4 linked regions of the Struthio camelus genome follow. The protein of the gene in region 1 interacts with the protein of each later gene in a biochemical or structural test. Links are inferred from orthologs where the notes say so. Each region holds a gene or a part of one and is shown in the gene's direction. Other genes may lie near its edges.

Region 1 (7,465 bases):
TTCGGGGCAGCGCGAGGAGGGAGGGGAACGCAGGGCCAACCGCAGGCAGCCCAGTAACCCCAGTTTGTGCCGCTCTCTCCTCGCCCAGGCCCGAGGAGGCGCCGGCGCCATGGGCGAGAAGCCCAACGCGTGCCCGTACTGCGGCAAAGGTTTCCGCTGGAGCTCCCACCTGACGCGGCACCTGGGCACGCACGGAGGCGGCGGGCCGGGCCCGGAGCGCGCCGGCACGCCGCCGGCACCGCCGCCGCCGCGGCCTTACGCTTGCGAGCGCTGCGGCAAAGCCTTCGGGCGCAGCGCCCACCTGGCCCGCCACCGCGAGACCCACTCGGGCGAGCGGCCCTACCGCTGCGGCTGCTGCGGCAAAGCCTTCCGCCGCAGCGCCCACCTCACCCGCCACCGCGGCACCCACACGGGCGAGCGGCCCTTCGCCTGCGGCCTCTGCGGCAAAGCCTTCACCCGCGCCGCCCACCTCACCCGCCACCGCCTCACCCACACGGGCGAGCGGCCCTTCGCCTGCGGCGACTGCGGCAAGAGCTTCGCCCGCGCCGCCCACCTCACCCGCCACCGCGCCACCCACACCGGCGAGCGGCCCCACAAGTGCGCCGGCTGCGGCAAGGCCTTCGCCGCCGCCGCCCACCTCCTGCGGCACCAGCGCACCCACCGCGCCTAGACGCCCGCCCCGCGCTCCTTTTTTTCCCCCCTCCTTCTCCGCTCTTTTTCGCCGGGGGCGAAGAAGGGAGGGAGAAAACCCAGCGCCCCTTCCCGGGCCCGTTGCCTCCGTCCGGGCTGCCCCGTGCTGGTTTTTTCCCCCCCCGCCCCACCGCTGCGGGGGGGTATTCGGACTCACCCTTCTGCCCTGCCGTCGACCGGTGGGGGAAAACCCTTTCTGTTTCCCTTCCGTAAAGCCTCCCGGAGTCCCGGGATCGGGGCAAAAATCGAGGCTTTTCGCTCAGCACCATCTCAGTAGCTCTCCAGCGGGGCTCATCCAACCGGTTTCTCGTCTCCGCGCGAGGAAGCTCCTGATTTAGCGGCGGAGCGTCCCCTCCGCCACCCAAAGGCGTCTTAGCCCCTCCGGGACTCACTGCGCTCAGCCTCTCCGAAGGGCTCCCCGCTTTCTCGCCGGCCCCGCTGGAGGAAGACTCGAGGAAGACTCCGGCTCGAGGAAGTCGAGGTCGGCGTTGCCTCGTGCCGGTGGCCGCCAGGAAAACCAGGAGGCGAGAGACTTTTTTTAAGACAGTCGCCTCGGCGGTTTTTCCGGGTGGTACCGGCGGCGCGGCGGGGCGAGCTCTTCCCTGCCGCGTCCTCCTGTCGCGTCTCTCCGGAGCGAAGCACCCGCGGCCGACGCTCGTCGTCGTCCGGTGCCGCCTGAGCGAAGGTCTCGAGACGGTTCTCTCCTGAGCGGCCTTCCCGGAGCATTTCTCGCTCTTTCTCAAGACAGCCCCCTCCTGAGCCGGGTTTTGGTGGTTTTTCTTTTTGTTTTTTGTGATTTTTGTGTGAATTTTCCATATGAATTTCCAGCGTCCTTATCTTTAGCTCGGGGTGTCGTCTCTCTCCCCGCCGGGAACGGCCTCACAGCCTCCGCTCTCCTCCTCGGGGCCGGTCCCACATCCACGCCCGGTCGCTCGCTCGGCCCCTGGGATCCCGAAAACATCGCTCTCGGGGTGCGAGGGAGGACGGGAGCAGACAAGACTTTGCCGGGGGTGACCCTTGGCTGCGGCGGAGCAGCTTTGAGGACTCAAAGCTCCTTTAGAGACCCCCCAATGTCTTCTCTGTGGGTAAAAGAAGGCGTTAAAATGATTGAGAAGCGAAAGCGGGGCAGAATTAGGTGGGTAGAGGGAGCCGATGGGCGCCCTGGTTTGTGAACAGCGCCCGAGGGAGGCTGTTTGCCCCGGGCTAGTCGCCTTCCGGGGTTGCCAGGGTGGGAACAGAGGCTGAGGGAGTCGCCCGGGGGCTGTCCTGTGCACGGCCGGCCAGGTCCGAGGGCTTCTCCCTGCCCAGCGGGGCCAGGCGAGGCTTGCAGTGATTGTGGGGGGACACTGGGCATCCGGACCCGGCAAGGCCCAGGTTCAGGTCTAAGCCCACATCCAGGCCTAGGCCAAAGCCCTGACCGGGGCCCAAACCCATTCCCACACTTGGGCCAAGGCCCGGGCTCTTGTCTATGTCCAAGCCCAGATGCAGGCCCACATCCATGACCAGATTCAGGCCCAGGGCCACGTCCAGGCCCAGATCCAGGGTTAGACCCAGGCCCAGGCGCCTGCCCATGTCCAAGACCACGTCCACACCCAGCCCCAGGATGAAGATCTTGTCCACGCTCACGACTAGGCTCACATCCAGCCTCAGACCCAGCCTCAGGCCCAAATCCAGGCCCAGGCCCATGTCCCAGCCCTGACCCAGGTCCCAAGCCCCAAGCCAGGGCCTAGGCCTGGGCCCACATCATGGCCAGGCCCAGATCCAGGCCCAAGCCCCAAGCCCCAAGCCCCAAGCCCCAAGCCAGGGCCTAGGCCCACATCATGGCCAGGCCCAGATCCAGGTCCAAGCCCCAAGCCCCAAGCCAGGGCCTAGGCCTAGGCCCACATCGTGGCCAGGCCCAGATCCAGGCCCAGATCCAGGCCCAAGCCCCAAGCCCCAAGCCCCAAGCCAGGGCCTAGGCCCACATCATGGCCAGGCCCAGATCCAGGTCCAAGCCCCAAGCCCCAAGCCAGGGCCTAGGCCCACATCGTGGCCAGGCCCAGATCCAGGTCCAAGCCCCAAGCCCCAAGCCAGGGCCTAGGCCTGGGCCCACATCGTGGCCAGGCCCAGATCCAGGCCCAAGCCCCAAGCCCCAAGCCAGGGCCTAGGCCTGGGCCCACATCGTGGCCAGGCCCAGATCCAGGCCCAAGCCCCAAGCCCCAAGCCCCAAGCCAGGGCCTAGGCCCACATCATGGCCAGGCCCAGATCCAGGTCCAAGCCCCAAGCCCCAAGCCAGGGCCTAGGCCTAGGCCCACATCGTGGCCAGGCCCAGATCCAGGCCCAGATCCAGGCCCAAGCCCCAAGCCCCAAGCCCCAAGCCAGGGCCTAGGCCCACATCATGGCCAGGCCCAGATCCAGGTCCAAGCCCCAAGCCCCAAGCCAGGGCCTAGGCCCACATCGTGGCCAGGCCCAGATCCAGGTCCAAGCCCCAAGCCCCAAGCCAGGGCCTAGGCCTGGGCCCACATCGTGGCCAGGCCCAGATCCAGGCCCAAGCCCCAAGCCCCAAGCCAGGGCCTAGGCCCACATCATGGCCAGGCCCAGATCCAGGCCCAAGCCCCAAGCCCCAAGCCAGGGCCTAGGCCCACATCATGGCCAGGCCCAGATCCAGGTCCAAGCCCCAAGCCCCAAGCCAGGGCCTAGGCCCACATCATGCCCGGGCCCGGGCCCGGGCCCAGGCCCAACACACATCCAGACCCAGGCCCTGCCCCGTGAGAGCCCTGCCCTAGCCACAGCCATCGACTTTGCCCTCGGGCCGCCCCACCCCGGAGCCACTCCCGCCATTACTCCCTCCTGGCCACCAGAGGCAAACCGGAGTGACTCTGGATCGGGGAGGAGCCCCCCCCGTAAGGTATTTTAGAAGATGATTGGCTCAACAAGGTGTCAGTCAGAGCGACTGCCCCGCCTCCTGGAGGGCTGTGGCTGTCGATTGGCTGAGCGCCACGTTCATCTTTAAGACTCCGCCTTCCCTGTGGTGATTCGGTCGGTGATTGGTCTAGAGCCTGCCCCCTCTCCGGGCTTTGAGACAGCTTTCGCCCTGGAAGCCTAGCGGGGGGAGGGAAGCGCTTAGAGGAAGAGGATTGGCCTCCACGCCCTGTCAATCCTCGCTCTCCGGACGCCTATTGGGCTTCAGTTGCTGCCTCGCGCTGTTGAGCGAGCTGATTGGCCCGTCTCCCTTTAACCCCCGCCTCTCCGCGGTCGCGTGCAGGCGGGCCCTTCCCGCCTCTTTCCGTTTTCCCGCCTTCCCCGCCAACGCGCGCCTCCCATTGCCTCACCGCCCCGTCACTCCCCCGCAGACCCCGCCCCCCCTCGCCCCCTCCGCGGGCGCTGATTGGCGGAGGCGGGCGGCCGAGCCGAGCCGGGCTGCGCGCGCAGCTCGCCGTGGCGCGCGAGCCCCCCCCACCTCCCCCCCCCCGGTGCGGGGGGTCGAGCTGGAGTGGGGGGGGGAGCGGCGGCGGCGGCGCCGCCATGTCGGGGCCGGCGGTCGAGGCGGGCGGCCCCGGCGAGGCGCGCTCGGACTCGCTGGACCTGCTGGAGCGCTGCGGCGTGTGCCGGGAGCGGCTGCGGGCCGAGCGGGAGCCGCGGCTGCTGCCCTGCCTCCACTCCGTCTGCCGGCCCTGCCTGCGGGCCGAGCCGGGCCCCGCCGCTCCGCCGGCCGCCGCCAAGGAGGGGCCAGGTGGGGGCGGCGGGCACCGGGGGGAGGCGAGCTCACGGGGTGGGGGCGGCGAGGCCCCTGGGTAACCGGGGGGGGGCGTCGAGAGCCCGGGCTAACCGGGGGGGGGCGGTGAGGCCCCTGGGTAACCGGGGGGGGGCGTCGAGAGCCCGGGCTAACCGGGGGGGGGCGGTGAGGCCCCTGGGTAACCGGGGGGGGGCGTCGAGAGCCCGGGCTAACCGGGGGGGGGCGGTGAGGCCCCTGGGTAACCAGGGGGGGGGCAGTGAGGGCCCGGGCTAACTGGGGGGGGGGGTTGAGGCCCCTGGGTAACTGCGGGGGGGGGGGCGGTGAGGCCCCTGGGTAACCGGGGGGGGGCGTCGAGAGCCCGGGCTAACCGGGGGGGGGCGGTGAGGCCCCTGGGTAACCGGGGGGGGGGGCGGCGAGGGCCCGGGCTAACCGGGGGGGGGGTGGCGAGGCCCCTGGGTAACCGGGGGGGGGGGCAGTGAGGGCCCGGGCTAACTGGAGGGGGGGCGCCGAGGCCCCTGGGTAAGCGGGGGGGGGGGGGCGGCGAGGCCCCTGGGTAACCGGGGGGGGTAGTGAGGGCCCGGGCTAACCGGGGGGGGGGTGGCGAGGCCCCTGGGTAACCGGGGGGGGGCAGTGAGGGCCCGGGCTAACCGGGGGGGGGGTGGCGAGGCCCCTGGGTAACCGGGGGGGGGGGCAGTGAGGGCCCGGGCTAACCGGGGGGGGGGTGGCGAGGCCCCTGGGTAACCGAGGGGGGGGCGGTGAGGGCCCGGGCTAACCGGGGGGGGGCGGCGAGGCCCCTGGGTAACTGCGGGGGGGGGTGGCGAGGGCCCGGGCTAACCGGGGGGGGGGTGGCGAGGCCCCTGGGTAACTGCGGGGGGGGGTGGCGAGGGCCCGGGCTAACCGGGGGGGGGGGTGGCGAGGCCCCTGGGTAACCGGGGGGGGGGCGGTGAGGGCCCGGGCTAACGGGGGGGGGGAGGACTACAAAGGCCCAGGCTAATATGGGTGGGGGGGCGGCGAGGCCCCCGGCTAATGGGGTGGGGTGGGGGAGCAGTGAGGCCCCGGAATAACGGGGGCGAGGAGGGGGTGGCCAGGCCCCGGGCTAACTGGGGGGGGGGGGGCGATGAGAGCCTGGGCTAACTGGGGTGGGGAGCGATGAGGGCCTGGGCTAACTGGGGTGGGGAGCGATGAGGGTCTGGGGTAATGGGGGGTGAGGGGGGGGGCGGTGAGGCCCCGGGTCGACGGGGGGTGAGAGGGGGTGGCGAGGGCCTGGGCTAACGTGGGGGGGGGGGGAAGACTGCAAAGGCCCAGGTCGACGGGGGTGAGAGGGGGGGCGGCGAGGCGAGGCCCTGGGGTAACGGGGGGCGAGAGGGGGGGCGGCGAGGCCCCGGGGTAACGGGTGCGAGGGGGGGGGGGCGAGGCCCTGGGGTAATGGGGGGTGGGGGGGGGCGGCGAGGCCCCACGGTACTGCCGGAGGGGGGTTATGCAAGGGGAAAACGTTGCGCTGGGCTGTGCCGGGGTGGGGGGGGGGGAAGGTTGCCTGCGAGCGGCAGCAGGGGCCAGGCCAGCCGGGGAGGGGTGCGCGGGCCGGGCCCTGCAGCCGTCCGCAGGTCAGGAAGGGGCGGCGGGGGGGGGGGCGTAGGCGGCGCGAGGGCGCTGGGGTGAGGCAGGGTGGGCGTGCGAGGCTCGCGCGGGTGCTAAGCCGGGCAACGGAGGAGTAGATGGGTGCTCTTGATGCCCTTGGGTTCCCTGAGGGCTCCAACACCAATGAGCTCTTCCCAGAAAGCTGGTCCGTGTTTCCGGAGGTGGTTTGGGATGTCGGGTGGACCTTTAGGTCCCCTTTCACCAGCTCCCTTGGCCGCTCCCTGAACGTGCTGTGCTTGGTGGCTTCTGCTGGCCTCATCCCAGTTTGACACCGGCTTGTACCAGGAAGCTCCCAACTGCCCTGTGGCCCTGTTGGCCTTGCCCGGATGCCTGGGTCCTTCCCAGCGTGGTGTTGTCCCGCTCGTGGCAGAGCTTGGCGTTGCTCGTGGTCGCCTCTATGGAGGTTTCTCACCCCAGTCCTGGAGCCCCATTCTTTTCTTTCCCCTTGCCTTGGCATCTGCCAGGCAGAGAAGTTTCTGGAGAGATCAGAAGCGCTGCTTCCTCTCGCTGCCACCTGTGGTAGATGGTATCTCAACGGTCGCAGGTGGCTTACCCTTTCTCAAAGCCCTGGAGAGGAAGAGGAGGAGGAAGGGTAGACCGGTGGCTGCTTGGCTGTTGGTGGCAGAGCTGGGGGAGGCGGCGAGGGGTGCCTGATGTGGCTTCTGGTTGAGGAGGTTCAAGTTGGGCATCTGGAGAAAGTTCTTTGTCTGGAGGGGACCAGAGCAGTTGTGGGTTTCCGTCCTTAGAGGTTTGGCTAGGTGAAGCTGTCAGCGACCTAGTGCGGTGTTGGCAATGGTCCTGCTTTGGTTGAGGTTGGTGCAGGAACCCCTGGAAGCCCCGACCCTCCTGCCCCGGTGAGGTCAGCTGGGGAGAGACCCAGGGATGTGGTGGGCCTCTGTCTTTAGAGGTCTTCAAGGTTTGCGTGTGACCATGAGGGACCTGATCCAGGTGGACCCGTTTTGGCCTGGGGTTGGACCAGCAAGGTCCCCTCTGCCCTGCCCCAAGCAGGAATGGGTCCTGGTGAGTCTCCATCCGTGGAGGTATGCATCCTATGCGGAACCTGGTCTGTACTGGTCCTGCATTGGGCTCAGATTGGAGCAAGGACCCGCAGAGGTCCCGTGCAGCCAAAATCAGTGCTGACGAGTCCTCTTTGGATCTCCTGGCGTGACGGGGCACCCAGAGCATGCTTCTGCATGAAAAGTTTGGTTTCGGAGTGAAGTTTTCAGCTTGGCCTCGACAGCCATCCCATTTTTGAGGGTTTCTTAGCTCAGCGGTCAGATATCCAGGGCATCTTCCCGGCTGCTCCGGGTTCTTCCTTCTCGCCTTCCATTGGATGGGCTCTGCTGCCAAAAAACTCGTGGGAGAGGTTGCCTCCAGGCTGGGCTTCTCGGTCAGCCCCGGCGACCCATCTCTGCCGCCGCG
Region 2 (7,637 bases), on another chromosome or scaffold:
CTGCTCCTTTTCCCTCTATCACAGAAAAGAAGTTTACATTAATACAATTTACAGCATTTCCCCTACTGCACAATTAGACAGTCAGTGAGATTTTCTTAAGAGTTAAAAACTTTCCGTAGAAAGCATTTTTCAAGATAAGATTAGGCGGTTCTACAATGTTTGACTTCTATTCCAGAAATTAAGCAACTTGTGCAATTCTATGATATAGATTTTAACAATGTACTTTTCCCATCTCTCCCTCCAAACATTAAAAAAGAGACTACATTTAAATACTCCCAGAAGAGGAATCCTCCCAAAGGTCTTATCAGAAGCTTTTTCAGGTTGTGCCAGGAAAAACAATGCTGCGAACTAACAAAACGTTCTCATTACAGGTAACACCAACCCGTTCATACTGTATGATTCTATTCCAGATAGCATATATTTTTAAAAAATGTTCTGCCTCAACTTGCTGCACATGAATACAACCATACTATTTTCCCAAGACATTAAAAAACAAAGAGATAGCTTTAGACCTTTTACAACAGGTCATTGATTCATTTTCCCTTTATTAACTCTTTAAAATGTATAAAACTAGAGTATTTGCAAAATTAATCTAGGTCTGGGATCGGGCACCATTGGAACTAGAATAAAGTAGGCTTTACATCTATTATTTTGCATACAGTATACACCAAAGCAGAAAGAAACAATCTCCCAACCTCCATCAATTGAAAAAAAAAAAAAAAAAAAAAGAAAATATAGTAAGGCATCAAAAAGATCATTTTCTGTATGACAGTGTGTCACTAGATTAGGCACTCTGTAGTTTTCTACGTCAAACAGCAATGGTTTAAAAAAAAAAAAAAAAAAAGAAAAACAACCGCACACAAACAATAGTCCTATTTCACAAACTTTAAAAGACATCAGACTCTTGCTCTAAAGAGATATAACTGTCCTGCCAGGTCTCCTGCCAAATAAGAGTTCGAATACAATGACTATTTCACCCTTATAATGATAAGTCATTTTAAAATCAGGAACACCTTTTTTTTTTTTTTTTTTTTAAACACCTCCAGCACGCCACCATTCGCTACAACTAAGCAACACACCATAACTAATTATGCACTGTGCAATAGGAGAAATGCAAAAAGGATATTAGAAAACCAATGAAAAATAATGAGATTTGGAAAACAAACAAAAAAGCCTAGTGCAGATACTTTGAAAAGTGTTAGCCAATCATCCTGCAGGCCAAAATATGCTTTCTGAGCTTGTCCAGAGCAGATAGCATCTAGAATCAATTAACAAGGAAGACCATTATTAGAAGCAATACTGAATCAGTTTTGATTAAAAAAAAAAAAAAAAGAGATCACTATCACCAGCTGAAGATACTGCATTCAGTCTGAGAAACAAGTCAACAATCATAAAAACAATTTTGATATAAATGCTGCATTTGAGAACAATCAATTTCAGTGTCACTCAGAAACGCTAGATCCTATAGCGGGTTCCAAGTATTTTCTAAGAAACACAAAGGAAGCTACCTTCTCATTGTGCAGATGGGCAAAATTTGTCACAACATAACTTAAAAGGGGTAAACCCACGTTACCGTTTCTTTCCTATGAGCTCTTAAATGGAATAAGGGGTGGTGCATACCTCATTTGGTAAGTCACATGTGGCAAGGCATGCATACTATTATTTAAGAACCCAAGTAAGCTAAGAAATCATTTAAAGTAATGATACTGCAAAAAAACCTCTCTCTTCACATTAGTCTCTAATTTTCTAGCAGCAGAGCTGAAGTACTTGCTACAGTTTCACACGACCAGAAAAGAACACTTCTCCCTGTATAATCAATTACCACATGTCTAATAATGCAACTAGGACAGAAATACGCAAATTCAGGCAAATTCAGTAGGCATACTGATATTTCTCATAAACGTTTATCTGTGAAAACAGCGACAGAAATTTAAACGAAACTCAAGCAAAGAACGCTACGAGCCATAAAAAGTTGGTTTGATTATTAAAGGACAAACATGTATCATACATTACTAAAAAACATAAAACAGAAAAATGAAACACTCTTGCATTCTTAAGAATTCTCACATTCATCATCTCCTGTGTATTAGTGTCATACAGCATGTGCCCTACCCAAAACCAACATCTAGGCACCGCATACATGTCAGGACATAGCAATAAAAAAAACCCTATCACTTCTTGAATCAAAACCACTGTGTGAAAACATCATAAACATGCTGTTCCACTAATACAGGCAGAGCCTCTGAACATAGTCTATTTGCATTAAATGTTGTTTAAGAGGCTCAAATTCCTATCTAGAATTAACCTACGACCAAGATCCAGAGAGCTCTGATAATCTTTTACACGGTTCACGTTGAAGCTGTGAAACATATGATATAAGCTATTATCCTTCCAGTCCCACTCAGAATCTTCATGAAAACCCTCATTTGGTAGCAAGCTAATATAAAAGACAGAATAAAAAAACTCCTTTAAAGACTTCCAGAGTGCATTCTACCGCAGTAACAAACTGTGAGAGAAAATCTTTTGGAAATCTGTAAATCTTCCTTAGGGCTTATTTTAAGCCTTCCTTCACAGGCTAAAAGCAACACTTCAAAGGACTGGAAAACATGAAGCCTACACTGGAAAATCCATCACCAGACCAAGTAAGTGCGTTTCGTGTCATAACAGCATGGGTACAAATACTCCAAGCTGACTGCAGACTTCTGCAGAGTTAAGAATCCGAGTAACAAAAACGGTTAACAAAACAGGTAAGTGGAATCTCTGAGCTGGCACTGCCCGCCAAAATGGAAACTGCCAAGCGATTACACTTCCCCAGATTTACTGGCCCCAAACCAGAAAGACACTTCCAACCACTCGCTATGCAGTCGCGCCCCGTTAGCCCCTAACACCTCTTACATGGCTTTCCGATCCATCAGTCTACGTCCTCCCCCTTCCCCCGCAGCCCGGTATTATCAGGAGTGAAGCGGCTGCCATGCCGGCTCCGCCATGTGGCGGCTATCAGGAAAACAAGGGCCCCCGCAGTTAGATGAGGAAAATGGCGCCCAGAAGCAACCGTTGCCTCCAGGGAAAGCGATGCGGCGGGAAGGAAAGAAATTCACAAAGAACCGACGCCAGAATAAAGAAGCTAAGTTACACTCGGGCCTTCAGGAAAAACACAAATCAGTCGCTGCAAACCGCTTCTAGCGTCCGGCTACACACGCCTTACCAGGGAGAGCTTGCAAGCGATTGCTTTCTGTTCCCATAAAGATAACAACGGCAGCCTGGCTCTCAGCCTCTACTGCTCTCCCTCCCTACCCCCTTTCCCCTCCTAGGTCTCATCCTGAAAGCCTCACGCACGAGCGAGTCTCGGCGCCGCCATTTTACCCCTCCCCCTCGTTACCGCCATTATCAGCAGCGCCACCCCGGCCGCTCAGCGTCCCGCAGGGCAAAGTAGAGTCCCGGATCGCGCATTAACTGACCTCCATAGTGGTGTGTGTCCCCCTCTCCCTTCCCCGCAGCACCACCCTAACGGCAGCTCAGCTAAAGGACATGTCGGGAGATTTAAGAATTCGTACCCGCACGCACAGCTACCGCAGCTTCCGCCTCCCCTCTCGAGTGCGCACCAGCCCCAACCGCCGCTTCCAGAACCTTCCTCCCTGCTAACGCTTCCTCTGCGGAGAGGCACCTAGCCGCTAGCCGCGCCGCCGCTAACGGGGGTCGGCAGCAGCACCCAGACCTACGCTGCCCGAGGACGACTCTGCTCCTAACCCCCCGATCCTGAAAAAGCACTCCATCTCCACAACCAGACACGCCACCCTCCCTAACAGCCGAATCTGTATTTTTCCCTTTTCACATACCATATTCTTCATGGTTTACGTATCCCTGCTTGAGAATACCGCACAACTGCTCAGTAATGGCTGCCTTAACTGTTACGTAATTTGAAATTCAGCTCCACGTAGTGCTAGCGCCCTCCTTCTCCAGCCCAGACTCGCTGCCGATGTTTTAGTCAAAAAGCTCGAATCTGGAGCTTAAATATCTCCAAAGGGGCAACAGTTCTGTATAACGCCCCTATGTGTTTTAATCACGTAATAAAAAGTCATCAACTCCGTTAGTAATGGCTGTCTCCGGAATGAGCCGAAGGAGCTGTCGTCGTCGAGCTTATCCACTTCGACAGTCGCCGGAAAAAGCCGAAATAGGAAAGGAAGCCCATTCGATTCGCTTCGGCTATTTCCGGAATTTGCCGAAACGGACAAGAATGGCGATCCGATCCCACTCGGCAATTTCCGGAGAGAAAGACGCAGCAGCCATCGACGATACAGCGCCTTCGGCAGTTTCCGACAACGGAAGAGCTTTCTAATACGTGCCCGAGCGGAGCCGAAACGGCCCCGACCAGACTTGGCACCGCGTCGTGGGTGGTTTTTTTTTTTTTTTCCGGAAATTGCCGAACCGCCCCGAAGACTCAACCTCAAAGCAAGGGGGTTATAATTAGCCAAAGGGCTCGTTCCCCCCCCCCACCTTTACTCCCCCCCCCCGGCCACCTGTGGTACTGGCAGGGCCCGGGCGGGAGCACAGCGCGGTGCCTACGCGCGCCCCCGACATCTCCCCTTTTTGTCGGCGGGTTGGCCCCTTCCCCCTCCGCCCGGGTAGGAGGAAGTGATAGCTGCCCAGATTTTGGCGCCAGCACCGAGACATCGCCGGGGGCCGAGAGCCAGCGAAGGGAGGCGGACTTCGCCGCAGCCTGCTCCGCTCTACCCCGCAACACGGACAGAAAACCCATCGGGCAAGCCACTCACTTAGACATTTATTTCTCCTTCCTCCTTTCTTTCCCTCCCTTTTTCTCTCTTCACCGGCCCCGCACACACCGCGACAAAGGGTGAGTGCCGCCGCCCCGCGCACCAGGGAAATGGCGCTAGGGCTGCTCCTTTCTTCCCGCCCCCTCTTCTCCTCCCCCTCCTCCCAGCTCCCCGGGAAGCGACCCCTCTCCCGGAGCGAAGCACCCTAAACTGACTCGGACCCGTTTCCCCCACTTAATAAAGGGCTTTCTAGGCCCCCAACCGCTTTCCAACTCCCGCTTTCCTCCCTCCCCTCCCCCCTCCCTGGCGCTCGCTCAAGACTAGGCCGCCTCGCCGCAACGCGGGAAATGGCCGCGCTCCAAACGGCCCGGGCCCGCCTCAGCAACGGCAAAACGAACTTCAAAGCCGCTCAAACGCTCCCTGCCCGCCTTCCCCGCACCTGGGGATCGCCCCAGGCGCCCCCCCGCACGGACTGAAGGCCTCGCTCGCCCTGCGGCGGGCGGCGGCCGCCCCGACCCAGCACGCCCTCATGGCGATGATCATCATGGCGGCGGCGGCGGCTACCGGCCCGCCGGGCCCGTTTCCCCCTCCCGCCACTTCCCGCTCACCCAGTCGCTTTCTCTGTCGCCGCGAGGCATCTTCCTTCTTTTGGACGCTTGACGCGGTCCTGCACTCGCCCCCCGTTGGAGAGACGTCTTGGCCCCCCTCCTGTACTGGCGGCGACGACGGGAGGAGGTTGCAGCTCGCGCGTAGGCGGCGTCGTGCGCTCTGCCCCGTCAGTCGCCGGCACGCAGAGCTCGCCCAGCCCAGCCCCGCCAGCAGCCGCCGCCTCCCGCCCTGCGCCGCGCCGCGCCGCGCTGCCGCCCAGCCGCTGCCGCCCCGCCCTCCCCCTTCCCCTCCCCCACCCCCCCCTCGCCCGCCTCAACCCCCCTCAGATGTCGCTGTTGCCGCCGCTGCTCAGTGCGCGCAGGGCGAGAGCGAGGAGGAGACGGGAAACCCGAGCGGCTTGAGCACCATTGAAGTCTGTATCCTTCTCTCTCTCCCTCTTTCTCTCGCTTCGATAACCTTCCCCCCCCCCGCCGCCTCCTCCTCCTCCTCCCCCCCCTTCCCGCCACGGGGGAGCGGGCGCCCCGCGGAGCGCTCCTGCACCGCGGCCCTCGCCTCAAGGCCACGGCGGGAAAGGCGGGGGGCAGCCCGCCTCGCCCCCCTTCCCCCCCCCCCCCGCCGCCCTCAGCCGAGCGCTGCCGCTTCCTTGGCGGCGGGGGGTAACGGAAGGAGCGGGGCTTCGTGGGGCCCTGGCATTTCCACGGAGGCCCCTCGGCTGGCGGGGCGGGGGGGATGAGGGGGCGGCGGCGGCCCCCGCGCTCGCCAGACAAAGCGCGCCCGCCAGCGCCGAGGGGGCGGCCTGGGCCGGCCGCGCCGCCTTCAGGCGCCAGGCTCCGGGCGGCGGCGTGCGGGGCCCGGGGGAAACGTGGCGGCGCTGGGGGCGGGGGAGGCGGGCGGCGAGGGGGCCCCGGCCCCGCGGCGAGGGCGCTGCGGGCGGGCGGGCGGCTCCCGCGGCCCTCGCCCCCCTCCCCCGGGCCGGCCCGCCTTAGTCCCGTTAGCTCGGCCCCGGCCGCCTCGCCTGCGCCCGCCGCAGGCCTGAGCCGCTGCGCTGCCCCCCCCACCGCCCCCAGGCCTCCCGGGGGTTATTCCGTTTTATTTTCGGGTGGGGGGCGGGGGGAATTGCTGCTTCTCCCCTCTCCCTTGCCTTTCAGACGGAGACATGGCATGGCCCACCGCGCCGGGGCCCTGATCCCTGCCCTCCCACCTCACCCACCCCACCGCCTTTGGGGCTGCCAAAACCCCCCTCTCACATAAGAGGCGAGTTGGGCGGGATCGCAGAGCCGAGGAGGCTTTCTGGCCTTGGAGAAGGACTTCTCTTGCCTTGCCCGGGCAAATGCAAAATTGTAACAGCTCTATAGTTTGCAGTCAGGCGGGGATAATACATGCCTACAGAGGTGGCCAGTATGAGAAACGACGTGGAAAAGGGGATGGATCGCGTTCAACATCATTTGCTTAGGTTACATACATAGTATGTACAGCTTAGCTGCTGAGTTAGTATTGCTATAGGAACCTTAACTCTTGCAAACTTGAAAATCAGAAGGCAACGTTATAGTTGCATTAAGATAACGTTTGGCTGTTGATAAGCATTTACTACTATGTAAGAGTAATGGGTGACTCCTTATTACACTGCAGATATGTAGCTGCTCCCCACCAGATTCGCAGTTAATACATCTAGGTATATCTTGATTAACTGCTAGAATCTCTACTCTTCTTCTCTTGGGTTTAAGGAAATATGCATCCCTGATGGTCCTCCCCCTTTTCCCTAGAAACATCTCTGAGCCTTAGAAGGCCTTGGGAAAACCTTTTTTCAACTCTATATACGACTTTGTCGGTATCGTGTATCCTGGCTAGCATAACGGTGTGTTACTGGGTTACGCTGGACAAAGTAGTAACCTACTTTTTGTTCTGGATTTAATCCGTATTAGGAGTGTTATGTGCAGTGAATACATGGGGGTTGGAACAAGGACCATGCTTGTATTGGGATGCCTTTCTTTGAGTAATGTAAACTTCCTTTTAATTGTCATGCATTTTTCTAGTAAAAGCTCTGCAAGTCTGCAATAAAAATGGCCTCCAATAAAACTACATTGGTAAGTTCATGCACACCTAAAGTATATAAGGATTTAATCAACATTTTTCTTCAAACTTATAACTTGGCATCTCCATTTTAAAAAGATACATCCACATCTCCCCTCCCCAGCATTATTCTGACCAAAATTTCAGATCCAGAAAGTAAGGCTACTAGAAAGGACATTATCTTTG
Region 3 (7,682 bases), on another chromosome or scaffold:
AGAGATATAAAGATCAATTAAGTTGTCTATCACATTGAGTGGGATCTTGATGGATTTAATTCAGCGGAAAGAAGTGGAGATTCGGGGCTAAGGCTATTAGCCTTCCTTTGTGCACGTCTAGGTGTATTCGTTTGATGCCTGATGCCAATATCTTCTGATAATAAAAACCGAAAATAGTCCATAAGTAACACAACAGTATCCAAGTCATATATCAAACAAGACGTTGTTCAAAATTTAGTCCTTTAAAGTACTTAAGATATCTTTACCTTATACACATGCTGTCCCACCAGACCAGGAAGCTCAGACCGAATTTTTCTTAAAGGTGCCTGAGAGGGAAACAAACACACCATGGGAGGCTGGAGCTTGTAAGGAACTACAAGCTGGTCTTTTATCTACACTTAGGTTGTATAAAAGGGGTTGTGACTATTTCTGTAGATGACTTTTGCATTGGAACCTCAAACACACTCTGTCATCCCCTTTCCGGGTTACATCTCTATGTTATGTCTGACTACTATTTCTGAATACCTTACACGGAAAAATGACTTTATGCTCTCGCACGGACTATGCATTGTACACATCCTCGGGCTATCCCTGCCTTGGCCGTCTACCTCTCTCCTTCTCTGATTATTTGTTTAACCTGCCTAGTATTTATCTACGCTGTAAGTGCGCTGGGGAAGGGTGCCTGCAAAGGCCTGCCTGGAGGACGCCGCTACCGCACAAGAGCATGAAACAGACAAAAATGACTTTAGCGAAAGCACTGACACTTACAGGGTTTTTGTCTTTGTTTTTGCTTTCCTGCCTTTAAATCCAGGTTTGAGGTTTTCTTTAACTTTTATGTTACAAAAATGAAGAACACCTACAATGGAGTGGCCAAGACCAGACCTCAGTTGGGAGTTTTTTGAGAAAAGGCACTGAAAGGAGACTAGATTACAGCTGTGATTATGCCAAGGAGCCCAGTTTAGGCTGTCCAGGCTTCTAAATGAACTGCAGAGAACAGCCAGTCAACGTACGTGGTACCGCGTTTTACCACAAAAGTCATCTGCCGAAAGCAGAGGGGACCTGTGTCCTGTGACTCAGCTGCGGCGCAGCGTGCCCGGGGATTGCTCGGGGGACTCCGGCGCCCTGCTGCTTTTAGCCACGCAGTTAGTGCACGTTCGACAATGGCAGCACTACACTTCTGTACGTCTGCTTGCACCATTTGGAGGAGTCAGGTGGACACCGGACAGCTGGTTGCACGCCGGCCACCACATGCTACAAAAACATAAATGTAGAAGAGATGATCAGCAACATCCCTGATAATTTTCACATGTTTCATTTCATTTGATATCAACTCTGCTTCCACCACCCACCATTGCTCCTATTACTCCAAGCCTTACTGCATCCCTTCTGGAAATGACTGGCACCCAATAAATAAAAATACAGGTTTGGACCCCCTTCTCAATAGGAGACAGTAAACGAGAGTAGTTTGGAGTCGCTACCGATCTGGGGTCCCGCAATTGCGTTGCGTGGGACTCGGCAGCTCAAAGATGGCACTGAGAGACGGAAACTTCACATCAAGTTCGTAAAGAGCAGCCCAAGTCCTGGCCGAATTCCCGTTTGGCTAAAAATAGTCTCGGCTGGAGCCTGCATTTTACTTACTTCCTTTCCTAATTTATTAGTGTCACTATGGGCTGGCAAAAAATCTTCAAGTCTTCATGTTGGGGTGCTCATGCCACATCGGTGGCGACAGCCACTCCAGGTGGCTGCTCCTCTGCTCCAGGAAGCGCATCAGGGGGTGACAGTGCCGGCCCTGCTGCCAAGGAAGCATGTGTCATGGGGCTGAGCATCCTGTGGGGTGTGGGACCCTCATCGGCTGTAGGGCTGAGCCAACGAGGAAAGGTATGCTGCTGGACCTTGTACTAACAAACAAGGAAGGGCTGGTTGGAGATGTGAAGGCTGGGGGCAGCCTTGGCTGCAGTGACCACAAGATGGTGGAGTTCAGGATCCTGCGAGGAGGAAGTAGGGCAATAAGTAGGATCCCAACCCTGGACTTCAGGAGAGCAAACTTTGGCCTCTTCAGGGATCTTCTTGGAAGAATCCCATGAGATCAGGCTGTAGAAGGAAGAGGGGTCCAAGAAAGCTGGTCAATATTCAAGCATCACCTCCTCCAAGCTCCATAACAGTGCATCCCTATGAGCAAGAAGTTGAGCAAAGGGGGCAGGAGACCTGCACGGATGAACAAGAAGCTCCTGGCAAAGCTCAAACATAAGCAGGAAGTGTACAGGAGGTGGAATCAGGGACAGGCCACTTGGGAGGAATATAGGAACGTTGTCAGAGTATGCAGGAATGTGACGAGGAAGGCTAAGGCCCTAAGGCCCATTTGGAATTAAATCTGGCAAGGGATGTCAAGGACAACAAGAAGGGCTTCTTCAAACACATCAAATAGCAAAAGGAAGACTAGGGAAAACGTGGGCCCGCTGCTGAATGGGGCAGGGGTCGAGGCGACAGAGGATACAGAGAAGGCAGAGCTGCTGAATGCCTTCTTTGCTTGAGTCTTTACTGCTAAGGCCAGCCCTAAAGAATCCCAGACCCTGGAAATCAGGGAGAAAGTCTGGAGAAAGAAAGACTCTGCCTTGGTCGAGGAAGATCAAGTTAGAGATCATTTAGGCAAACGTGACACTCACAAGTCCATGGGCCCTGATAAGATGCCCCCCACGAGTGCTGAGGGAGCTGGCAGACATCATTGCTAGGCCACCCTATATCATCTTTGAAAAGACATGGACAACAGGCGAGGTGCCTGAGGACTACAAGATAGCAAATGTCACTCCAGTCTTCAAAAAGGGCAAGAAGGAGGAGCCAGGAAACTACAGGCCTGTCAGCCTCACCTCCATCCCTGGAAAAGTGATGGAACAGCTCATCCTGGAGGCCATCTCTAAGCATGTGAAGGACAAGAAGGTGATCAGCAGTAGTCAGCACGGATTCACCAAAGGGAAATGATGCTTGACCAACCTGGTAGCCTTCTATGATGGGACGACTGGCTGCGCAGATGAGAGGAGAGCAGTGGATGTTGTCTACGTTGGCTTCAGCAAGGCTTTAGACACGGTCTCCCACCACATCCTCCTAGGTAAGCTCAGGAAGTGTGGGTTAGATAAGTGGACAGTGAGATGGATTGAGAACTGGCTGGGTGACAGAGCTCGGAGGGCCGTGATCAGCGGTGCAGTCTAGTTGGAAGCCTGTAGTTAGAGGTGTCCCCCAGGGGTCAGTAGTGGCTCCAGTCTTGTTCAACACATTCATCAGTGACCTGGACGAAGGGACACAGTGCCTCCTCAGCAAGTTTGCTGATCATGCAAAACTAGGAGCAGTGGCTGACACACCAGAGGGCTGTGGTGCCATTCAGAGGGACGTGGACAGGCTGGAGAGCCGGGCGGAGAGGAACCTCCTGAAGTTCCACAAAGGCAAGTGCAGGGTCCCGCACCGGGGGCGGAATAACCCCAGGCACCAGGACAGGCTGGGGGTTGACCTGCTGGCAAGCAGCTCTGCCGAGAAGGCCCTGGGAGTGCAATGTGGCCTCGTGGCCGGGAAGGCCAATGGTCTCCTGGGGTGCATGAGGCAGAGTGTTGCCAGCAGGTGGAGGGAGGTGATCGTCCCCCTCTGCTCAGCCCTGGTGGGGCCTCACCTGGACTACTGTGTCCAATTCTGGGCTCCCCACTACAAGAGAGACATGGAGGTCGTGGAGTGAGCCCAGCGGCGGGCGGAGAAGATGATGAAGGGCCTGGAGCATCTCTCCTAAGATGAGGAAAGGCTGAGGGAGCTGGGACTATTCAGCCCGGAGCAGAGAAGGCTCAGGGGGGAATCTGATCAATGTGTATGTGTCTCTGAAGGGAGGGTGTCAAGAGGATGGGGCCAGACTCTTCTCCGTGGTGCCCAGTGACAGGACGAGAGGCAACGGGCACAACGTGAACCACAGGCAGCTCCGTCTGAACATGAGGAAAAACTCCTTTCCTGTGAGGGTGACGGAGCCCTGGAGCAGGTTGCCCGGGGGGTTGTGGAGCCTCCTTCCCTGGAGCTTTGGAGCCTCCTTCCAAAGCTGTCTGGCCACAGTCCTGTGCAGCGTGCCCTAGGCGACCGTGCTGGAGCAGGGAGGTTGGACTAGATGATCTCCAGAGGTCCCTTCCAACCTCAACCGTGCTGTGATTCTGTGATGCTGTGGGGCGCGGGACCCTCGTGGGCCGTGGGGCTCAGTGCCCCCGTGGGGCCATGCTCTCCCAAGGGGCTGCGGGGCCAACCTCACCCTCCACCGCGAGCGGTGTGGAGCCCCCACGCGAGGCCCTGCCCTCGGGGGCCCGACCCTGCCCGTGCTCCCGGGGCCGCCCCGCTGCCGGCCGGGCCGAGCGCCCCGACGGCCCCGCCAGCCCTACGACGGGGGAAGCGGCGGGGGGGGGGGGACCCCGGCCGGGGCGGGGGGGGCGGGGCGAACAGCGAGGGGGCGGGGCGAGCGGTGCGGAGTTGGGGGGAGGCCGGCGCTCCCCCCCGCGCCGCTAGTGCAACAACAGCCTGATTTCCCCGAAGTGATGCTGGCGGCGGCAGCCAATGGGCGGCGCGACCGCCCCTCGCGGCGGCGCTGATTGGCCGCAGCGCTGCCCGTGCCCGGGGCGGCGGGGAATCCCGGGCGCCGCCGCGCTAAACCCGAGGGCGCGCCCCGCGGGCCGCAGAGGCGGGTCGGCGGGCGGCAGGCGCGGACGGCTCGGCTCGGCTCGGCTCGGCTCGGCTCGGCTCGGCTTCTCACGGCTCGGCTCAGCACGGCTCGGCTCGGCACAGCGCGGCGAGGTGGGTGGCGGTCCCCACCTCCCCCTTCCGCCTCTCGCGCTGCACGGCGCCGGGGCTCCGGGCGGGGAGGCGCTCCGCAAAGGGCGGGCAGGGGCCGTGGGAGCGGCCCCGGGGCTCGGCTCGGCTCGCTGCAGCGCTGGCCTTGACCATGCGGAGGCGGTGCGCGGGCGGGCGCCGCGCCGGCGGGGCGGTTGTCGACAGCCGGGGGCAGCTCGGGGCCGGTGCGCTGCCGGCGGATCTGTGCCGTCGGGGGGCGCCGGGCATCCCCCGGCGGGCAGCGGGCGGCGGCGCCGCGGCCCCTTACGTAACCGGGCCGGGCCGGGCCGGGCCATCCGCGCCGCGCGGGGGCGGGAGGTGAGAGGGCCGGGTCGGGCCGGGTCGGGCCGGGCCGGGCCGCGGCGGCGCCCCCGCCGCGGGGAACTGGCGGAGCCCGTCGCCGCCGGCAGCGCTCCCGCCCGCTGCCCCCGCCCGGCGCGGTGCCCGCCTCGGGGAACTTGGCGCGCTATTGTTTTGGAAATGCTGGTGTGTCTATCTGGGGGGGGGGGGGGGGGGGAAGCAAAAACAGGAAATATATTTATGCAGAGGAAGGGTTGATAGCAAACTGCCTCTGTCGCACTTCGTGTCAGCGGCGGGGAAGCGGCCTCGGACCGCAGCGTTAAGAGGCGCAGTTTTGATGGTGGGGCTTATTTTGCTAATTAGGAGTCCCTTGCAGCCCAGCTTTCTCTTTTTCCTTTTGCGCAACTAAGCAGATAAGACTCAAGAAAGCGAGTGTGCAGTTAGTGCTACTAACAGCACAGTGCGATGGCTGCAGCGCCTGGGGCTCTGTACTGTGGCCGCAGCCAGCAGCGTGCAGGGACCGTGCAGGCAAGCGAGCAGCCCCTCGCTACCTCTTGCCATCCAGCATCACCCACCTCCCACTTTTTCCCGGGAAAGCTGCAAGCCAGTGTTGATCCGTTGGTGCTGGGAGCAGAGCTGCCTCCTGCCAGGCAGAGGTTGAGGCTAGGCTCATTCTCTTGCAGGCTGGGTCACAAAAAGTTCCCTCACGGCACTTCTTGCGGGCCTGCTGCTGCCTCCAGAGCTCAAAACTGCAGCTAGTGTTACATGATAATCCAGCTAGAGCGAGCGAGACTGTGATTCGGAAGCAGATGAAAGATGCTGAGAAAGTTTTGGTCGCACTGGCAGCGTGAGCAGTAGCCAGCGCAGCAGCAGAGGGGATGAAGGGAGGCGGAGGTCGCCGGCAGCATGCATGTGGTCCAGAATGAATACTTTTTTGCTGAGCTATTATTTCTTCCATAGACAACATGCCAGTGTCAAGAATGCGCATGAGGCCCTGGCTGGAAATGCAGATTAATTCCAATCAAATACCGGGACTGACATGGATTAACAAGGTGAGATTTTTTGCAACCAAAACCTATCTATGCTGCTACTGAGTAATCTCTGATTCAATTCATCATTATAAATTGGCACGTGAGGAATCTCCTTTTTTAATTCAAAACTCTTATTGGTTTAACTTCAGGATAAGATGATGTTTCAGATCCCTTGGAAACATGCAGCTAAGCATGGCTGGGACATGGAGAAGGATGCCTGCCTCTTCCGGAGCTGGGCTATTCATACAGGTGCGTGCTGGCTTTAAGATTTTATCTGTCAGATGGATACCTCAAGTAGGGCAGCTTATTCTGTCTTGATTTACAGTTCAGGTTATCAAATTAACTTTTTAAAGAGAAAAATAGAAAAAGATTATTTCCTTGCAGGAAGAACAACCACTGCAATCAAAAGTCTGAATGTTCACACTATTTCTTATTTATAGGAAGATATAAAATAGGTGAGAAAGACCCTGACCCTAAAACCTGGAAAGCAAACTTCCGCTGTGCTATGAACTCCTTGCCCGATATTGAAGAAGTGAAGGACAAAAGCATCAACAAAGGCTCCAGTGCAGTCAGAGTGTACCGAATGCTGCCGCCCCTGACGAAGGATCAGAAGAAAGGTAAGCACGCGGGAAGCCAGCCGGGGCGAGCAGGCCCTGCTGCTGCACTTCAAACACTGCTTGAATTTCCTGCCCCACTTGCAGCAGAGCTGCTGGTAGCAACACTGTTACTGGGGTTAGTCACCGGTTATTGCTATCAGTAACACGTTGCACACGTACAGTAACAGTTTGTACAAACTGTTCATTTTATCCCAAATTCTTAAAACATACCTAAAAGGGATCATTAGGAAGCGACCAGGATTCACTTCTGCAGAGCAGGACTTTGCTCAGAGCTGCAATGGTTCATACTCACGTAAAACGTTGGCTGTGAAGCCCTTTCTCATATTGGTCTTATTTTTATTTAACAGAAAGGAAGTCAAAGTCATCAAGAGAAGCAAGAAACAGGAGCAAAAGAAAGGTATGTGTGTGTGGAAGCAGCTGAAGAAGCTAGAGGTTTTGGTGGTTTTCTTGCTTAATTTTTTTCATATGGGAACTTGTACATTCTTAGACAAGTATCTCATGCCTTGCCCTTATTTTTGTAGTCGTATGAAGACATGAAGACAGAGGAGTCAGTAGAAAGTCTAACCAGTACTACTCTACCGGACGACCACAGTGGTTACACAGTACATGGCTACACGGGCCAGGAAGTGGAAGTGGAGAGCACATCCATCACCTTAGGTGAGATTCAATTTTTAGCACTCTGAGCAGAGTGGCAATTGCTGTTCAGGCTAAAGCAACAAGCTCAGCACCAAAAGGTGTTGGCAGCTTTCTGTAGGGATGGCGTGAACCAGGTGGTGGGGAGAGAGGGTGGTGTGTGCCTGCTCTGAAGCCCGACTCTGGTGTGTCCCCGCAGACCTCTCGCCCTGCGAGGTGAACTGCTCCCTGACCGACTGGAGGACGCCCATGGAAATTG
Region 4 (7,932 bases), on another chromosome or scaffold:
TGACTTTTACAACAGGTTCTTTGGGCAGAAGAAAAGCATATAAGGTCAAGGCAAAGTTGGTCAGTATGTGTCTTAAGTAACTCCAATGACAGCATCTGTTTCAGATTGCACGATCACTTGCGAATCCCAGTTACCTATTAGGTCCTTCTCCTGTGAAAGACAGCACAGAATGACCGCACATGCCTTACAGTGTATTATGAAAGCAAATGTTTTTGCCATTACAGCCATCAGTAAAGTAAACCTACATGCAAAAATAGTGGGAAATAGTAAGATAAAACCCCATGTTAGATCAGGATACTATAGCTATCTGGTAACTAGTTACTTGAAAAGGATTTTGAGCCACTGCTTGGTGTTCCTATCAAGATCAAATGGACTCTATAGAGCAATCTAAAGTATAGGTTCCTTCTATCCACCTATTACTCCTGTTTTTAAAGTCATATCATCTTGCAGTGATGTCCTATCTGTAGGGGCTTAACTTTCTTGCTGTTTCTTCAGAGCTGACTCAATATGTGCTAGGCATATCCCTTCTCGGCTTTTTTCTATACCGGCTGCAACTGTGTCACAAAAGAAATATCAGGTTAGTAGAGCAAAAGGAAATATGCAGAAAAGGTAACAAACGCAGTTTGTGTATTGCTGAGTTAAATTCTCTTTTCCCCACTTTCTCTCACTCTCTTTCAAACTGTGTGAATTCCCAAAGTAATCAGCCAGCTTTTCGCTCCAGCACGACTTTCCTCTGCAGCCCAGGATAAAGTTTTTTCCTTGATTTTCTTTACTTGCCTGTCTATGTCACAAGGGCATTGTAACGATTCGTTACTGTTCATTCACAGTATGAAAAACTCTGTAAATACTGAATAAAATTAATTTAAAAAATGTAAAAGCTAACAGTCACTTTAAATAGTTTTACTGCCAGTCCTTTGGCATGAAACAGAATACAGCTGGTAAACAAGAAGGGGGAATAACCTTGTAAACAGTCACTCAGCTTCCTTTATTGACCATATATTTCAGAGGCGTAGATAAGAGAATCATTTATGATTACCATGTTCCATTCCTTTAGCATACGCTATAGTTTGGACCTCACTAATGTAACATATTCAAGACACCTTCATCACACTGCAGATTAAGCTGGAAAAGCCAAACACTGCTTCATCTGTACTTTTACAGAATAAAAATGAGCTGGGATTTGGAAGAAAAGACTTTCTGTTGTTCTGATAAACATTTGAGGTTATCTGGAAGTCCTGAACTGAAGCAAATAAAGTTAAAATTACCAGAGCTGAACAAAAGCCCAAGCAAGACCTCCACAGTTGAACCTCTGCAGTACCGCTCATTTAAATCATCCTAAGCAACAGGATATTAAAAATTTGAACAATTTGAGCTATTGTTTTCAGCAAAGCAACATAACTGGTTATGGTCCTGTAGCTAAATCTACAAGGACATTAATGGGATATCTGCCCTAGAAATCTAACCCCGGATCAGGGTCTGAGAGCAGAATTTGACCTTTTGTATCACATGCTCTTCCTCCGGCCATCTTGAATTTTAGATGTCATCATCTAATCATGACATTATGCCCCTTGGTGGTTGTAAAACTTATTTTTTTTCCTGCCAAGTAGACAGTTAAAGAAGATAAGTCCACTCTTTGATAGCACTGTAGTTTAGTACAGAGTACATCGAAGTCTCTTCAGGTTATTCTTTTAGCAGTTCCTGAAGTAAACTAAAGTAAAAGTTCCTAAAGTAAACTTGGAGTTGTTACTGTAAATATTTTTTCTGGATATGTTATATGACATTTTAAAAGGGAAGTATTAGCATGTATAATATTCAGGTAGCATATTCTTTGCTCTGCTTGCCTGGTAGAGTCTTGTGGATAGGTAACAAATACAGAAATTAAAAACCGACAATAAAGATGACAATATTTGTATTTCACAGGCACATAGAATTCCTTTTCAGAATCAATTTTATGCATATTAAGCGCTCTGTCAACGTATAGAAAAACGGAGATGTGCTCTCCTAAGAGTCCGCCCTCACAATAAAGTACTAAAAACGTTTACATGCTACTGACACAAGAGGGCAGCATACAGGCGTGCTACGGGAAAACCCTTTACCGCAGAATATCATCAGCTTTATAGTTCGATTGTGCTTATCGATCATAGCAAAATTCATACAAACTGGCAGAATAATTTAATGTGTCATTATCAGATAAATGCCATTTTACAGCTACCGTACCGAGAAAACTTTTTTCCACAAATTTTCACCTTTAATTGTGTCCTTTTGAAGTTGTGTGCCTGTGCCCAGAGATGTGCTATGCTTTGCTATGGCCGTCATAAATATGTATTTTAGGAGGCTGGCCTGGCGTGGGAAATTCACGCAGGAGAAGGGAAACACTTTATGAAGCAAAGGAGCCAAAAGTCTGGTTGTCTAGCTAGAAATCACACTGGCAGATCTGTCTCCAATGGCAGGCAACGGCCAGCCTCAGTCCTCCCCTGCGTCAGGATCTAAAGCTGCCATTCCCACATGGATGCTTTCCTTCAGGATAAAAGGGCCTTTTGGGGAGGCTTTAATTCCCACTATCTTTTTGCTTGTCATTTGAAGCTACCAGAGGCAACCTTCATAATAAAATACCTGGGGATTATGTCATCACCATGTGTCTTATTTTCATAATCATTACACAATAGGGATTTTGCATACAGGGAGAAAAGCTGTTTTCAAAAAAGTTGTGTGTTTTGGATGCTTACAGTTCTGAAAAACTGTGAACTGTGTCTAGCTGAATGTCATCTGCTCGCAAACAAGGTTGCGTTTTCTTCTATACAGGAGCAAAATGTTTTGGCAATGTTTAATCAGCCAGCACTGACCTTTCTTCCCCAGCGCCACACATTTGTTCTCGATAAATGTTTAACTACTGATTTCTAAGGGGAAATGCTCACAACACGTAGAACCTAATTCAGAGCTTACACTGATTTAACATTACCAAATAGCATGGTTGCTGTAGGGTTGCATATGCGTTTTAGAGGTTAAAAACTCATTCTGTGTTCCCAGGGTCTTGTGACACTTTGGGCAGGACAAGTAAATCTCCAGGCAGTCTGTTTCCTTATTCATTTGGCTTCAGTTATCTGTCTGTATTCTCCCAAGATACGTGAAAATACTGACCATGAGGCAAAAATTAAGCCCATAATATAATGCTGGCTGAAGCGAGTGACTTTTTTTTTTAACATTTGCCTGTTTGAGAATAGATCACAATAAACCACGGGTTTGCCTATACTGCAGTCTCTGGCTAGCACAGACAAACTTAGCCAGATAAGTTGGGTTTAGCTAGACAAGCCCAGTTCTCAGAGCAGGGAACTGACTGTGTGTCACAGATCCTGCCCCAAAAGTTGGATGTGAAACCACTATCTTTTCAAATGACTGCTGTTTCAATCTGCAGCTTGCTTATTTGTGCCTGGTTTCCACGATATGAGTGGAAGTGGTAAAAAGTCTTGCCCCTTCGTCTCCCCCACTGCAAAAGGGCAAAGGTTTCAGCTCAGAAACTGGGGAGAATAGGCAGAGTACTGGAGGTGAAAAAGGCTCCTTCTCTTCAGGCATGGATTTCATAAAAAAAAATTTAGGTTGCAAGTGTTTTACACGGATCTTGACTATTTTATCCTGAAGTACAGATTTCTCTGCAGGATAGGATACTGATGTATTTTATGGGGTCCTTATAAAAAAGGTAAGTTATTCCAAATAAATAGTTCTTCTGTTACTGTGGGTCATACGTTCCTAGACTCCTCTGTCCTACCCAGTTTAAGTGCACTCATCTAAACTTCTGTGTGATGTTTGATGTTGTCTTTCTCTATTATTCTGGCTGATGTAGCTGCAGTGGACCTGGCTGATGTAGCTGCCGTGGACAGCTGTAAAGCATTATTTACCTTTAAAGAAAGAGCTAATATCAATCCTTTGTAAATTTTCCAAAATCCACCTCCCTCTCCTGGAACTCTTTTGAAGTGCTGGGCTGGTACCACTTACCAAAGACTAAAAGGTCCCGTTGCAAAGAGCATTACAGCTATTTACAACTAATAGTTTCAGAATTGCATGTACTTCTGGGCATGCCTAAGTTAGGCCAAAGTTATATGCACCTGGAGAAGGCATTCACACATACCTCTGAGGTAAGCAATGTGTGGATATACAGTGTGCTTGCATATGTAAAGAGGTGCACACTTTTAAATGATTTTTGCCTGGTGCTTGGCACCACCTGGAACAATTTCAGTCTGCAGTTTGGGTTCGGGGATTTGAGACTGGGCTTATCCAAATCACTGATATATTCTAACAGAAAGTAATCAAAATGTCTTGGATACATCTCCTTAATTATACAGACATAAAATGATGGGTAATATAAATATAAATATAAATCTACATGGCAACAAAAGGATAACCCATATCCATATTTGTACTTTTCAAATTATTGTGTGTCAGGGTGTATGTAGGATGAGATGTGGAGAGAACTTGCTTTCTGCTATGCGTCAAAAGTTTTGGATTAGTCACCTAGCGTTCTGGATCTGGCAAAACCTACGTTTTTGTGACGGTACGCTGCATTGCACTGAGACGTGGCTGGATTTTTTTTTCTTTTTCTTTTTTTCTTTTTTGATCAAACAGCAGCAAGAAAACATATCGTTTGATCTCACTGCACCGTCAGGGAGGCGGGGTCAAAGCGCTGGTACTCAGCGGGGTCTGGGCTCCTAGGTACGTTGTGCAGCAGCATTTGTGTGGCTTGCGCTCGTTCCTGGCTTTGGGAGAGCGGGACTGGAGGGACAGGCTCCTGCTGCCGGACCGCTCCGGGGAGCCTGCCGTAAAAACCTGCCCGGGCCGCTGCGCCGGTGCGCGCGGAAACCGGGCGGCCGGGGGGCCGGGCCGCGCCGGGGACGCGCGCAGGGGGCGGGGCCAGGCCGCGGGTGCCCCGCCCCCGGCCCCGCCCCCGGCCCGGGGCTATCGCCGGCGGCGGCGGCGGCGGCGGCGGGCCCACTCGTCCCGGGGCGGCGGCACGGGCACGGCGGGCAGGACGACGGCACCATGGCGGACCGCTCCGCCTTCGACACCGACGTGATCACCATGACCCGCTTCGTGATGGAGGAAGGGCGGCGCGCCAGGGGCACCGGCGAGTTCACCCAGCTCCTCAACTCCCTCTGCACCGCCGTCAAGGCCATCTCCAGCGCCGTGCGCAAGGCCGGCATCGCCAACCTGTGAGTGACACCGGCCCCGCCGCCCTCCCCGGCGCTCCCCCGGCCTCTCTCCCTCCTCAGCAGCTCAAAACCTCTCGCCCACCTCACGCCGCGAACCCTTCCCCCCCGCCATCCCGAGCTGACGCCTGTAGCGTCCCAGGCTCCGGCTTTTCCCCGGCAGAAATGGGTTTTGTCACCTTTTTTAATAGGTAAAGGCGCGCCGACTCGCGCAGGTGGCTGCGGCTGGTAGGTCTTCGTGCAGACACCTCCAGCAGGTCGAGACGCTTCGGACCCGAAGACCAAACAGACTGAAAGTTGAAGCCTGGCAAAATAGGGCTGAACTGTTATTATTCGTTGTAGGCAAGAACTTGATATCGAAGCACCGTTTTCATGCTATAGGGAGTTTAATCAAATTCGGGTTTGTTTTGTTTTGTTTCATTTTTTGCTTTTGCCACATTGTGCCCTAGCAACCTGAGTTTTTCTGTGACACCCTGGAAGTCTCCGGCCTATAAATAAATGGTCTCTGCAAGGACCAGCAGTGTCTGTAGTCAGTCAGGCAGAGCTGATACCGAGGGGGATTGCTCTGGAGGAAGGAAAATGTGAGGAAAGGATTTTGGAAGGAAATGAGAGCTCTTGAAATGGTAGATAGCTGAAGCCAGTCTAGGGCAACTGATTCTCCCATGTATTTTGCATATTGTTGATAAGCCACATAATATGCTGATCAGGGGTTTAGACGCAAGCTGCCTCATTACTTAAAGAAAAAAGTAATAGCAAGAAAACAAATTTGCCTCTACAGACCATACAGTGGAAAATAAATTAAGTAAAATGCCTCTAGCAAAACAGAGTAACACTTTTTACAAAATACATCAGTATCTTAGTATCAGCAAGCTGAAAGATTTGGTGACTGAAGCTGGCAGAACAGAAGCAATTGCACAAGCAAATTACAATAGCTCACTCTATATAATTTAAAGTATCTTTTGCTGTCTTGACTTCAAATCTCATCTGATATGCTTGGCACAGTTTTATAGTCGCTACATGCTAGCCCCTTCCTAAGCCTTTTATGCTACAGTCCCAACAGCAGAGAGTAGGGTTTCCTTCCACCGCCAACTTGTAACCTTCCTTGGCCCCATTCCTTGTGCCTCCTCTCTGTGTTTCCATGGCTTTGCTGAGGTGTCCGTGGGTCCGATACCTGAGCTGCTATCCTGGCCTCACTACCCTCCAAGGTGGATGGTATTTTCTTCCCCGGGACAACCAGCTTTGGACTTGCGAGCCTCCTCAGGCAGGCGAAGCGCAGCTCCCACCGTGGGACTGTGTTTCCTGACCAGCGGTGGGATTTTCCTGTCTCAGGCACTGCCGAGTGACACATGACCTGACCATCGGAGAGCGCAGAGCAGCAGGGATTGCCGGGCCCATTTCTTGGGGTGGCCCCCAGCCTGGCCGTGAAGGTGGTGATGAGCTGCTGCCACCGCCGTGGCCACCGCTCCTTCCCGCTGCAGGCTCCATACAAGCTGCCCACTGCCCTCTGCGCTCCCCAGGGGCTGGGCACCCAGATTTGGCCATGTGAAGGTTTTGCTCTCAGGATGAGAGCCCCCCCGGCTCCAAAGTGTGACATTTAAAGTCTAATGTTTTCTAAAACATTGCAGAAAAATGCTCAAGCCGCTGTAGCAGAGAAGGAGAGAGAATTTTGCTGGATCTTTCACTTTTTCTTATGCATCAGATTGAAGAAATGCAGTACATTTCTTCAATTCTAAATACATCCTGGTCAGCTGTATTGCGAGAAAAAAAAAAAAGAGAGAAAGAAAAAGAAAAAAAAAGAAATACCAGTATTCAGTATTCAGCTCTCACCAATGTATCGCAGGTAAGCTTAAGTAAGAGCCATCGGTGTGCCTGCGCAGAGCTAGGTACGGCTTTTCTCTTTTACGACGTAATCCATAACCCAAACTTCCTTTGTCTGTGTGTGTTTTCACTATTGCCTATCGCGAGCTCTGCTGGTACTTCCTGGTGCTGAGTGCTGGGTTCAGACTAACCAGCCGGAAATCAGCTGGCTGATTTCTTTTTTTTTTTTGTTTGTTTGGCACTTGTGTTTCTCAGTCTTATTCGCAAATAAACACTTACAACTTAAAAACAAAGCTAGAAACATTATAGCATAAAAATGTTGATTTAACCTCTGAACAAAAGGTTTGTGCCCATATTTGTACAGGGTATTGCTAACCATAACCAATATAGTCAGATGCATTGTTACTTTTTAAGTATAGACTTTCTAGTGAGATCTTAGCTTTTAAAGCAGCTACGATGTGGCAGCCAAGGTTGTAGGGGCAGTATTTGGGTCTTAAGAGGCAACAGCTAATTTAATAGCGTGATTATAATCCAGTCCTCGTAGCGTGCTCTGGCTGGGTTTGCCTATAGTTTGGGGACTATTCACGCGTGATTCCTTTTTTGCATTCCTCATGTTCAGTGTATTCCAGCCTTGCTACCACAGCTCGTGTTAGCAGGTCTCAGCAAGAACTTATCAGCTGGTAAATAAAAGGAGGCTTACAGACCTGAGATATCACTCAGAAGAGTTGTTTGTTTCACAAGACTTTTCTACGAGCCTAAGCCTGCTAGAAGTGGGGTACTTTGGGAGACAGAGCGCCCAGTTTTTACAAAATGCTCTTCTCTCTTTCCATCGCTTTAGCTATGGAATTGCTGGTTCTACCAATGTGACAGGAGACCAAGTGAAGAAGCTGGATATCCTTTCCAATGATCTCGTGAT

The links.
Region 2: the proteins of TRIM28 (region 1) and CBX3 form a complex in vitro, tested with the Homo sapiens proteins (2 studies listed by BioGRID). The link is inferred for Struthio camelus from reciprocal best matches to the Homo sapiens genes TRIM28 and CBX3.
Region 3: the proteins of TRIM28 (region 1) and IRF1 form a complex in vitro, tested with the Homo sapiens proteins (2 studies listed by BioGRID). The link is inferred for Struthio camelus from reciprocal best matches to the Homo sapiens genes TRIM28 and IRF1.
Region 4: the proteins of TRIM28 (region 1) and FBP1 form a complex in vitro, tested with the Homo sapiens proteins (2 studies listed by BioGRID). The link is inferred for Struthio camelus from reciprocal best matches to the Homo sapiens genes TRIM28 and FBP1.

What each region holds. Positions count from the first base shown.
Region 1 is NC_090975.1:272,061-279,525, forward strand, and holds the start of TRIM28 (transcription intermediary factor 1-beta), read left to right. Parts: upstream 1-4,169; 5' UTR 4,170-4,194; coding exon 4,195-4,402; intron 4,403-7,465. Other genes in the region: ZNF324B (zinc finger protein 324B), read left to right, coding at 110-670. UniProt on the Homo sapiens protein: Nuclear corepressor for KRAB domain-containing zinc finger proteins (KRAB-ZFPs).
Region 2 is NC_090943.1:38,642,394-38,650,030, forward strand, and holds the start of CBX3 (chromobox protein homolog 3), read left to right. Parts: upstream 1-4,341; 5' UTR 4,342-4,759; exon of another isoform or gene 4,760-4,852; intron 4,853-5,380; coding exon of another isoform or gene 5,381-5,410; exon of another isoform or gene 5,411-5,513; intron 5,514-5,523; exon of another isoform or gene 5,524-5,797; intron 5,798-6,915; exon of another isoform or gene 6,916-7,053; intron 7,054-7,414; 5' UTR 7,415-7,441; coding exon 7,442-7,465; intron 7,466-7,637. Other genes in the region: HNRNPA2B1 (heterogeneous nuclear ribonucleoproteins A2/B1), read right to left, coding at 1-15, 5,381-5,410.
Region 3 is NC_090954.1:2,453,000-2,460,681, forward strand, and holds the start of IRF1 (interferon regulatory factor 1), read left to right. Parts: upstream 1-4,664; 5' UTR 4,665-4,806; intron 4,807-6,102; 5' UTR 6,103-6,107; coding exon 6,108-6,194; intron 6,195-6,322; coding exon 6,323-6,422; intron 6,423-6,613; coding exon 6,614-6,790; intron 6,791-7,137; coding exon 7,138-7,187; intron 7,188-7,311; coding exon 7,312-7,447; intron 7,448-7,622; coding exon 7,623-7,682. UniProt on the Homo sapiens protein: Transcriptional regulator which displays a remarkable functional diversity in the regulation of cellular responses.
Region 4 is NC_090982.1:32,595,861-32,603,792, reverse strand, and holds the start of FBP1 (fructose-1,6-bisphosphatase 1), read left to right. Parts: upstream 1-4,928; 5' UTR 4,929-5,031; coding exon 5,032-5,201; intron 5,202-5,389; exon of another isoform or gene 5,390-7,027; coding exon of another isoform or gene 7,028-7,038; intron 7,039-7,854; coding exon 7,855-7,932. UniProt on the Homo sapiens protein: Catalyzes the hydrolysis of fructose 1,6-bisphosphate to fructose 6-phosphate in the presence of divalent cations, acting as a rate-limiting enzyme in gluconeogenesis. Plays a role in regulating glucose sensing and insulin secretion of pancreatic beta-cells.